Saccharomyces cerevisiae S288C: one gene and its partners. The main gene of each other region encodes a partner of the protein of the gene in region 3 in a complex. Each region holds a gene or a part of one and is shown on either strand. Other genes may lie near its edges.

Evidence for each region.
Region 1: TFB5 (region 3) and RAD3 share a complex: the UniProt entries of both Saccharomyces cerevisiae proteins name them as parts of the 7-subunit TFIIH core complex.
Region 2: TFB5 (region 3) and TFB4 share a complex: the UniProt entries of both Saccharomyces cerevisiae proteins name them as parts of the 7-subunit TFIIH core complex.

Annotation. Positions count from the first base shown.
Region 1 is NC_001137.3:525,219-530,088, forward strand, and holds RAD3 (TFIIH/NER complex ATP-dependent 5'-3' DNA helicase subunit RAD3), read left to right. Parts: upstream 1-1,863; coding exon 1,864-4,200; downstream 4,201-4,870. Other genes in the region: RPH1 (Rph1p), read left to right, coding at 1-541; adenylate kinase ADK2, read left to right, coding at 756-1,433; ATP-dependent RNA helicase BRR2, read right to left, coding at 4,312-4,870. UniProt on the Saccharomyces cerevisiae protein: ATP-dependent 5'-3' DNA helicase.
Region 2 is NC_001148.4:669,252-672,812, forward strand, and holds TFB4 (TFIIH/NER complex subunit TFB4), read left to right. Parts: upstream 1-1,874; coding exon 1,875-2,891; downstream 2,892-3,561. Other genes in the region: exocyst subunit SEC8, read left to right, coding at 1-1,622; BRR1 (Brr1p), read left to right, coding at 3,220-3,561. UniProt on the Saccharomyces cerevisiae protein: Component of the general transcription and DNA repair factor IIH (TFIIH) core complex, which is involved in general and transcription-coupled nucleotide excision repair (NER) of damaged DNA and, when complexed to TFIIK, in RNA transcription by RNA polymerase II.
Region 3 is NC_001136.10:602,955-605,600, reverse strand, and holds TFB5 (TFIIH complex subunit TFB5), read left to right. Parts: upstream 1-1,789; coding exon 1,790-2,008; downstream 2,009-2,646. Other genes in the region: VPS41 (Vps41p), read right to left, coding at 1-1,593; PET100 (Pet100p), read right to left, coding at 2,202-2,537. UniProt on the Saccharomyces cerevisiae protein: Component of the general transcription and DNA repair factor IIH (TFIIH) core complex, which is involved in general and transcription-coupled nucleotide excision repair (NER) of damaged DNA and, when complexed to TFIIK, in RNA transcription by RNA polymerase II.

The DNA of each region.
Region 1 (4,870 bases), on a different chromosome or scaffold from region 3:
CTCTACTTCTGTGCTCGGGCCACTGAGTGACACAAACGACATAAAAACACCGCACCCTGAAAGACCAAATCACAAGACAGCAAATAGAATACTCAAAAAGGAATCTCCTGTCGAGACATCAAAATCAAATCTTATACTTTCAAAGGTTGCATCCACTCGCCAAGAGGATTCTTTTACAAGCCGAAATGACGATCTGGACAAAGAACAAGGCTCTTCTCCATTAAACTCTAAGTTTGCGCCCGAAGAAATCGTGTTATCAGGTAAGAACAAGATTTATATTTGTAAGGAATGCCAAAGAAAGTTCTCTTCTGGTCACCATCTTACAAGACACAAAAAATCCGTCCACTCTGGTGAGAAACCTCATTCTTGTCCCAAATGTGGCAAAAGATTTAAAAGGAGAGATCACGTTCTGCAGCACTTGAATAAGAAAATACCGTGTATTTCAAACGAAACAACAGTAGATGCTCCAATAATGAACCCTACAGTGCAACCGCAGGACGGGAAAGCGGCCATTAATCAACAGAGTACACCTTTAAACTGACTCACGATTGCCAGTTGTTTACCGAGATCTCTCATTTTGAAGGCTCTTAAAATGTGCTCGGTCGGCCGGGAATTCGCGAAAACCCACATTCACTAATAAATACCATTACAATAACCATCATTATATAGATACACATGTGTAGAAAAGGATAATATACGTATATATATTTGTTTGTAAATCTTTAAATTTTCAGGAACAGGGTTAGCAAGCATCAATGAAAGCAGACGCGAAACAAATAACACATCTACTCAAACCTCTTCGACTTTTATTATTGGGGGCTCCAGGGTCAGGTAAAGGGACACAGACTTCGAGATTACTAAAGCAAATTCCACAATTATCTTCAATTTCGTCAGGCGACATTTTACGTCAGGAAATAAAATCTGAATCTACCCTAGGCCGAGAGGCTACTACCTACATTGCTCAAGGCAAGTTATTACCGGATGATCTCATAACGCGTCTGATAACTTTTCGTCTTTCGGCATTGGGTTGGTTAAAACCATCTGCCATGTGGTTGCTCGATGGATTTCCTCGAACTACTGCGCAAGCTTCTGCCTTAGACGAGCTGCTGAAACAGCATGACGCCAGCTTGAATCTAGTGGTAGAGCTAGATGTACCCGAATCCACCATATTAGAAAGGATCGAGAACAGATATGTTCACGTTCCTAGTGGGAGAGTGTATAACTTACAATATAATCCTCCCAAAGTGCCAGGATTAGACGATATCACCGGAGAACCATTGACCAAGAGGCTTGATGACACAGCGGAAGTGTTTAAAAAAAGGCTAGAAGAGTACAAGAAAACAAATGAGCCTTTAAAAGATTATTACAAAAAAAGTGGGATTTTTGGTACCGTCTCTGGGGAAACATCAGATATTATCTTCCGAAATTATTGAACCTTATAACCAGCAAATTCGGCTAATAGGGTGATTTAACGCTACACTAACTGCAAGTATATGTTAACCTTCCCCGAGACTTTGAAAAACCGTGACTCTAGTTGGAAGTCAGCATCTCGTCAACCAAATGATTACAGTTCACTTTGAATATTCTGAATAGCCTTTATGATATGAGTTAATCCTATATTAATCATGGCCGACGGCATTTAAGCGATGTATATGAAATTTATGAAAAATTAAAGTAGCGTACTTTATGCTACATAGCTTTTGAAAAGAAATCTCTGGTCTGTAAATAATAAATAAATATATATATATGTATATCTTAAAGTTGACAAAGTACTGTTAGCCATTCATAGAAATACTATATTTCATCTTGGGTTGAAGGTGATAATCGGCCCGATTTGACTACACTTTAAGAAGATTGGAAACAATGAAGTTTTATATAGATGATTTACCAGTGCTTTTTCCATACCCCAAGATATATCCAGAGCAGTATAATTATATGTGCGATATTAAAAAGACTCTGGATGTAGGTGGAAATAGTATCTTGGAGATGCCTTCAGGAACAGGTAAAACGGTCTCATTACTATCCCTCACAATTGCCTACCAGATGCACTACCCAGAACATAGAAAGATCATATATTGTTCTCGTACTATGTCTGAAATTGAAAAAGCTTTAGTAGAGTTAGAGAACCTTATGGATTACAGAACTAAAGAACTAGGCTATCAAGAGGATTTTCGAGGTCTTGGCTTGACATCAAGAAAAAATTTGTGTTTGCATCCCGAAGTGAGTAAGGAACGAAAAGGTACAGTAGTCGATGAAAAGTGCCGTAGAATGACAAATGGGCAGGCGAAGAGAAAATTAGAAGAGGATCCAGAGGCAAATGTAGAATTGTGTGAATACCATGAGAATTTGTACAATATTGAAGTAGAGGATTATCTTCCAAAAGGCGTATTTTCTTTTGAAAAACTTTTGAAATACTGCGAAGAAAAAACACTTTGTCCATATTTTATTGTTCGTCGTATGATTTCTCTTTGTAACATTATTATTTATTCTTACCATTATCTATTAGATCCTAAAATTGCTGAAAGAGTTTCCAACGAGGTTTCTAAAGATAGCATTGTCATTTTTGATGAAGCGCACAATATTGATAATGTGTGTATCGAATCGCTGTCATTAGACTTGACAACGGATGCATTGAGAAGAGCCACACGAGGTGCTAATGCGTTAGATGAACGTATTTCTGAGGTCAGAAAGGTTGACTCACAGAAATTACAGGATGAATACGAAAAACTAGTTCAAGGTCTCCATTCTGCAGATATTCTTACCGACCAGGAAGAGCCATTTGTGGAAACACCTGTATTGCCCCAAGATCTTCTAACAGAAGCAATCCCGGGAAATATACGAAGAGCCGAGCATTTTGTTTCATTTTTGAAAAGATTGATAGAATATCTGAAGACCAGAATGAAAGTTCTTCACGTTATTTCAGAAACGCCAAAATCATTTCTACAGCATTTAAAACAGTTAACTTTCATAGAAAGGAAACCTCTTCGGTTTTGCTCAGAAAGGCTATCATTACTTGTAAGAACTTTAGAAGTTACAGAGGTAGAAGATTTTACTGCATTGAAAGACATAGCAACTTTTGCTACTCTTATATCAACATATGAGGAAGGGTTTTTACTAATTATTGAACCGTATGAAATCGAAAATGCTGCAGTTCCGAATCCGATTATGAGATTTACTTGCTTAGATGCATCGATTGCCATCAAACCAGTCTTTGAGAGATTTTCTTCCGTTATTATCACTTCAGGGACCATATCACCATTAGACATGTATCCAAGAATGTTAAACTTTAAAACTGTTTTACAAAAATCATATGCCATGACCTTAGCCAAAAAATCATTTCTACCAATGATTATTACCAAGGGTTCTGATCAAGTTGCAATTTCTTCAAGATTTGAAATCAGAAACGATCCTAGTATTGTTCGTAATTACGGTTCTATGCTAGTAGAGTTTGCCAAGATCACACCTGATGGAATGGTTGTTTTTTTCCCCTCATATCTATATATGGAAAGTATTGTTTCAATGTGGCAAACAATGGGTATTCTTGACGAAGTTTGGAAACATAAATTAATTTTAGTTGAGACTCCTGATGCTCAAGAAACTTCTTTAGCCTTAGAAACCTATAGAAAGGCTTGCTCAAATGGGCGTGGGGCAATTTTGCTTTCTGTTGCTAGAGGAAAGGTATCTGAAGGTATCGATTTTGATCATCAATATGGCAGAACTGTGCTGATGATAGGTATCCCGTTTCAATACACAGAATCGCGTATTTTGAAAGCTCGCCTAGAATTCATGAGGGAGAACTATCGCATCAGAGAAAACGACTTCTTATCTTTCGATGCGATGAGACATGCAGCTCAATGTCTGGGGAGAGTACTGAGAGGGAAGGACGACTATGGTGTAATGGTACTAGCAGACCGTAGGTTTTCAAGAAAAAGAAGCCAGTTACCAAAATGGATTGCTCAAGGTTTGTCTGACGCCGATTTGAACCTTTCGACTGACATGGCCATATCCAATACCAAACAATTCTTGAGAACAATGGCACAACCCACAGACCCTAAAGACCAAGAGGGTGTATCTGTTTGGAGTTATGAAGATTTAATAAAGCACCAGAATAGCAGAAAAGATCAAGGTGGATTTATTGAAAACGAAAACAAAGAAGGAGAACAGGATGAAGATGAAGATGAAGATATAGAAATGCAGTGATGCAATGATACGCTTTTGCTATAAACTGTATATATCACAATTAGATTAAATAGCCGCAAGAGAATGTTATATATTGAAATCCATTCGATTATCCAGGACTAAACAATGATTTTATTTCACATTTATTTCAAAGGACAACTCTTTATCTGCGTCAAGATATGAATCACAGACACACCAAATTGTTAAGTTATGTTTACCAGATGTCGGAGTGTCAAATTCCAATTCATATTGCTGAGTCTCTTTATTTAAAGTAACTTTCTTGATCGCATAAAGCTCTTTTTTAGATACTTCACCTAAAACCAACCACCAACTTTCTAGCTTATCAAACGGATACTTTTCAGATGTTACTTGTAAGTTCTCAGGTTCAACATCTCTTGTCAATTGAATGGTAATTTTCTGTTTTACACCTGAAATTAACGAATCAGAATTATTCAACGAATAAGTAAGTTCAACGTTGGGGTAATTGTTAACAAACGCGGCGACCTGCGCAAGCTGTGAATCAGTAAGCGTTAAAATTTCATCCCTCTCTTCATCCTCAAGGGCCATTATATCATAGACCGTCTCGACGTTAATTTCTTTACATTTTTCCAAAATTTTGTTGTTGAAGTGTGGAATCTGTCTCAACGGATTATCAACGTCCCATACACCCTGAATCAACATCTGCGCCAAA
Region 2 (3,561 bases), on a different chromosome or scaffold from region 3:
ACATGGATTTAGACTCTATTTATGTAAAAGATGAATCCTTCGAACAAGATGAGCCTCTAGTCCCTCCTTCTGTTTTCAACATGAAGGTAATTTTAGATCCGTTTTTGCTGTTTACGCAATCGACATCTACAATTGTTCCCAGTGTCTTAACACAAAATACTATTTCATCCCTAACCTTTTTCGATGATTATATGAATAAAAGTTTTCTCCCAAAGATTCAGATGACTATGGATTATTTATTCACGGTTGAAGTAGAATCCAATAATCCGTACGCCTTAGAGCTATCCGATGAAAATCATAACATTTTTAAAACAGCATTAGATTTTCAAAGGTTATTTTACAATTTATTGAATGTTTTCAACACAGCAAACACATTTAGAGAAAAAATATCGTACTGCATTCTAGATCTTTTGAATCATTTTTATAATTACTACTTGGGGCTATTTAATTCCTTGATTGGTACTTCTGATAGACATTTAACTAGGAAAATAATTACGGCATGGTTGCAGAATGGTATTTTGATGGATCAAGAACAAAAAATTCTGAATGGGGATGAGACACTCTTTCATGAAGAATCCATAGAGTTATTTAAGGAAATACCTCATTTCTATCAAGCGGGTAAAGGTTTGAGCAAATCTGATTTATTCAATAACTTGACATTGGACACAATTCTGCAGTTTTCGGCAAGCGTGTTATGGATATTAAACTGGCTGCCAGGCTTAAAAAAGGCTATCAATATTGATGAAGTAAGCCAAGAACCCATGTTAGATGCTGATAGATTAAGGAGCAGCTGGACATTTTCTGAATCAATGGATTTAAACTATTCGAACCCTAGTTCCAGCCCAAATTCATTAGGAAATCTAAAAATTTTATTGGATGATAAAGCCTCCAAAAAATTTGATGAGACTATCGACGGATTCAAAACCTTGAAATTCAAACTAATCACTATACTGAGGTTCAACATTAGGGCCTTGTGTATATACGACATCGGGTCTTTTTTTCAAAACACCAAAATTTGGAATATGGATGTGGGTAGTATTGAATTAGATCAAAATATAGCTTCTCTAATTTCCGAATTAAGAAGGACTGAAAGCAAATTGAAACAACAGTTACCAGAAAAGGAAAAAAACTCCATATTTATTGGTCTTGATATAGTCAACAACTACGCCTTGATTAAGGGTGCCAAATCCATAAAAGTTTTGAACCATAACGGGATAAAGAAAATGTTGAGAAATGTAAATGTCTTACAACATGCCTATAGAAATCTTTCTTCTGAACCATCAAAAATTAATATGAACGTCACAATGAATTTTTACTCTTTATGCGGCTCCAGTGAAGCTGAACTATTTGAATATATAAAAGACAATGAATTACCGCATTGTTCTGTCGAAGATTTGAAAACCATATTGAGGCTGCAGTTTAGCGAGGAAATGCATCGTCAATTGAAGAGACAAAGCACTAGCTCAACTAAGGGTTCCATAAAACCTTCCAATAAGAGGTACACTGAAGCTTTGGAGAAACTAAGTAACCTCGAAAAAGAGCAGTCGAAAGAAGGAGCCCGCACCAAGATTGGAAAACTTAAAAGCAAATTGAATGCTGTCCATACTGCAAACGAAAAATGACATTTTTAGTTTGTGTAAAATTAATTTGATAAATAAATGAATGAAAATGATCAATAATAAGCGAATAACTATATTTTTAATTACCTTATTTTTACAATATTTTTCACTTGCACTTTTATTTTATTTTCAGCGCGCAGCTCGTCTTGTTCTGTTGAAATTCAAAGATACCTGAAGGAACATTACAACATCAATCAACACTTGAGTAGAAATATACACGATCCAATAAAATATACTGAAGCGAAGCAATCAGAAATGGATGCAATATCTGATCCAACGTTTAAGCATGCTAGATCAAGAAAACAGGTTACTGAAGAATCACCATCTTTGCTTACCGTTATTATAGAAATTGCACCAAAGTTATGGACAACTTTTGATGAGGAAGGAAATGAGAAAGGAAGTATAATAAAGGTTTTAGAGGCATTGATAGTATTTCTCAATGCTCACTTAGCGTTCAATAGCGCCAACAAAGTAGCAGTCATTGCTGCATACTCTCAGGGAATCAAATATTTATACCCAGAGAGCACATCTGCTCTAAAAGCCTCTGAATCTGAAAATAAAACCCGTAGTGATCTTAAGATTATTAACTCAGATATGTATAGACGTTTTAGAAACGTTGATGAGACGCTAGTGGAAGAAATATATAAACTATTTGAGTTAGAAAAGAAACAAATCGAACAAAATAGTCAAAGGAGCACGCTAGCAGGTGCCATGTCAGCTGGGCTGACTTATGTAAACAGAATATCAAAAGAGTCAGTAACTACCTCATTAAAATCAAGGCTACTTGTTCTTACGTGCGGGAGTGGCAGTAGTAAAGATGAAATTTTCCAATACATCCCTATAATGAACTGTATTTTTTCCGCAACAAAAATGAAATGTCCCATTGATGTCGTAAAGATTGGTGGTTCTAAGGAAAGCACGTTTTTACAGCAAACGACGGATGCCACAAATGGCGTTTATTTACATGTTGAATCTACAGAAGGGCTAATTCAATATTTAGCAACTGCAATGTTTATTGATCCGTCGTTAAGACCTATAATTGTTAAGCCAAACCATGGATCTGTAGATTTTAGGACATCATGCTATTTAACAGGGAGAGTTGTTGCCGTTGGATTCATCTGTTCAGTTTGCCTATGTGTCTTATCAATCATACCGCCCGGAAATAAATGTCCTGCTTGTGATTCTCAATTTGATGAGCACGTAATTGCCAAGTTGAAGAGGAAACCAGTTGTTCCAAGGTTGAAAGCCAAAAAGAAGGTGACGAAACCATGAACGAAAGGAATGAACATTATCCGTTTCAAGCAGGTAACCTTCGTCACAATGCATCGTAATAATACATAAAAAAAAATTAGCTTTAAGCACATGTATATTGGACATTCCACAGAAAAAAAAAAGCTTTTGATGTGATTAGCTTAAGACGTTGTGTCATCTTTGAACTGTTTTGACTTCAATCATATCGAATTTGATAATATAACTATCTATGTACTGTCTGGGTGCATCGCTGTTGTTGCTTCGGTAGATTTATTAGTTCGCTTTGGATAATGTATCATACAATAACATTGCCAACATCCATCATAACAGAAACATTAGGTGATAAACAATGAAAAGAGGAGAAAGCCAGGCGCCTGATGCCATCTTTGGTCAATCTCGTGCATTTGCACTATCTGATTCTTCAGTGAATCCTGATGTCATTGAATATCTTAAAAGTGTTAGGCAAGAAGCACTAAGAACCAACGCCATATCGATTAAGAATCATATGAATCTGCAAAAGAGGACGCGTCACAAATCAAGCATGTACGATGATGAGGATGAGGGGGCCCTTAAAAGGCACGCCATCTCGCCATCCTTGATTAGGCTTCAAAGGAATGTAGAAATATGGGTAAGGTGGTTTAACTCTGTGAAGGCGACGGTGTTGACTAATGCCTACGAGTTTACCGGTTAT
Region 3 (2,646 bases):
CTCTTCTGATCCAATTACATATTTACCGATTTTCCAAGCTTTATAATATTGCTTTCTTTCCATAAACCAATCGAAATGATCCTTCAATGATAACTCTTGAACCCTGATGGCATCGTTGGAACTTATCAAATAGTATTCTGGTGTTGTTTTATCTATATGTTTACCGAGGTGATAATCATTTATAGACAATTTTTCATAGTTTTTCATGATAACTTCATCATTATAGATTTCATCACCATTAAAAAGATCAACAATTTTTAATTCTGGAGCATTCCCTTTGGCTAATAAGTTTTCTGGCCGCTTGCTAAAATTCTTCCCCTCCTTCATATCTTCATCTATGGTTGCTTCCTCTTCAATATCTATATCAAAACCTAGGCATAATAACTGATCATCCTTAAACGATGCAAGCCCTGTAATCAACATTGACACAGTAAAATGGCATTCTAATTCAACTTTCTTATCAGGTGTCCCTCTAAAACTCGATGCAGCACTAGACAAGAGAGATCCGATGTTTGTCGTAGGGTTAAAATGACTCATATTATTACTTTGAGAATTAGAGTCACCGGATTTGATCGAATTTGAATCCTTGGTAAAGGAAACTTTAAATAGCCAAATATTAGATCCCCATCCGATAACGACACGATCACTTTCTAAAAAATGAACATGGGGTCTAAATAGATCTGGCCTTACATCCTGTACGTTAAAAATTCTGGAGGGGAATGGAATATTCAAAAGCTGTGATCTTGTAGGAACATCGCAAAATGTTATTCCATCATCATCCATCCATAATATAAGGTCACCCATAGTATAAATTCCCATGATAGGGCCCTTCATATCAGAGGATAGGTCATCTTTTCTTGTTTTTTTCTTTTTCTTCTTGTTTAAAACGATGTCGATTCTATTTCCTAGCCAATTTCTCTGAGATAGTACAACGTCGCCAGCCATTCCACCAGAAACAAACATTCTGGATGCTTGAAAATTTGAGTGCAACGCTACAGAGTTTATAGGTCTTTTGAAATCGTATTGTGTAATGTTTTGTGGATCATCCATCGATCCGATAATCACTGTCCCGTCAATAGATCCCGTAGCAAAATATTTTCCGTCAGTGTTAATACAAAGTATCGAAGATCTATGGCATTTGATGGTTTTAATGGGTTCGAACGCGCATGTAGTTAAGTGTAGAATGCCTGAGTGTGTACCAAATGCAAAAAAAGTATCACCAAATAAACATGAAGAGATCGAGTCTCGTTGAAAAAAGTTCTTCGGGAGTTGACTAATTCGTGTGTACTTCAATAAGGGGGGCTCATCTTCGTCATCCTCATCTTCATCATCGTCATCATCATCATCATCATCATCATCACCTGTTTCTGCATCCGTCGCACTTCCTGTTATTGTACTCTCATCTGTTCGAGAAGCTACTCCATTTTCCGCTTGTGATATGCAACTAACACTTTTTGTTGGTGAAGTTACATTAACGTCTTCCCTCTTATTATCAACATTATTCTCGTCAGAGATGGAATTACTCTCATCAATTGTTCGTTCGCCTGATTGTTGATCCAAAACAGAATCATTCTGATGATTATCTGTAGTCATTAATGTCTAATAGTAGGTATATACTCTTCGTTAAAATGCTTTTTTATTTTGCATATATATTTTACAACAGTCTCAATAGCCCTTTTAATTTTTCTTTTGTATCGTATTATTGAAAAAAGACGAGCAAACTGCAGTAAGATAGAAGTGTACTCCCAATAGAGACAAAGCCAAGATACTTTTGTAAAAGAACGAAAAAATGGCTAGAGCAAGAAAGGGTGCACTGGTTCAATGTGATCCATCCATCAAGGCGCTCATATTACAAATTGACGCCAAGATGAGTGATATAGTACTAGAGGAGTTGGATGACACCCATCTTTTAGTAAATCCCTCGAAAGTCGAATTTGTTAAGCATGAGCTAAATAGGCTATTATCTAAGAATATATATAATCCTATGGATGAAGAAGAAAATCAGTAATTATTGCTCATTCAGCTTTTTCAATACTATTTGAATAGAGCATGACCTGCATAACCAGGTCAGACATGAATATAGAGGGGAAGTGATGATCTAGTGGAAATACGACTATACAGGTATGTACATGTTAGAATAATAAATATAAGGAAGAAAAAGTGGTCAGGTGCAAGTATACATCTTTAACCGTTTTCTTTTCTCATCCTTTTTTGAGAGCCAAATCCCGTTTAATTTTTTCTTTTTCCTCCTCAAGGTCTAAACCAAACTCCTCTTGTATCTTTTTCTCCAACCTAAGCCTTTTCTCTAAACGTTCTTTTTTCATCCTTGCCAGTTCAGCTTTAATCTCATAAGGCTCTTTTGGTATTTGGTTCAACGTTGCAGGATCTGGCCAAAACCCTGGAACATTTAATTTTTTATCAGTATCTGTACCAATATAGTACATTACAGCAACAGGTGCTAGCAAACAAAATGAAAATCTAAAGATCTCCAGTTGCGCCCTTGTATATTTAAACTTGAAGTTATTAAATAGACCCATTTTGTACTTGTCGAAGTGATTACTTTTGTTTGTCAGCCCTTATTAAATTGTTATAGAACAGAAAATATCAGCAAGATGCGCTGATATATTGGAATTATACGGGAAAAAA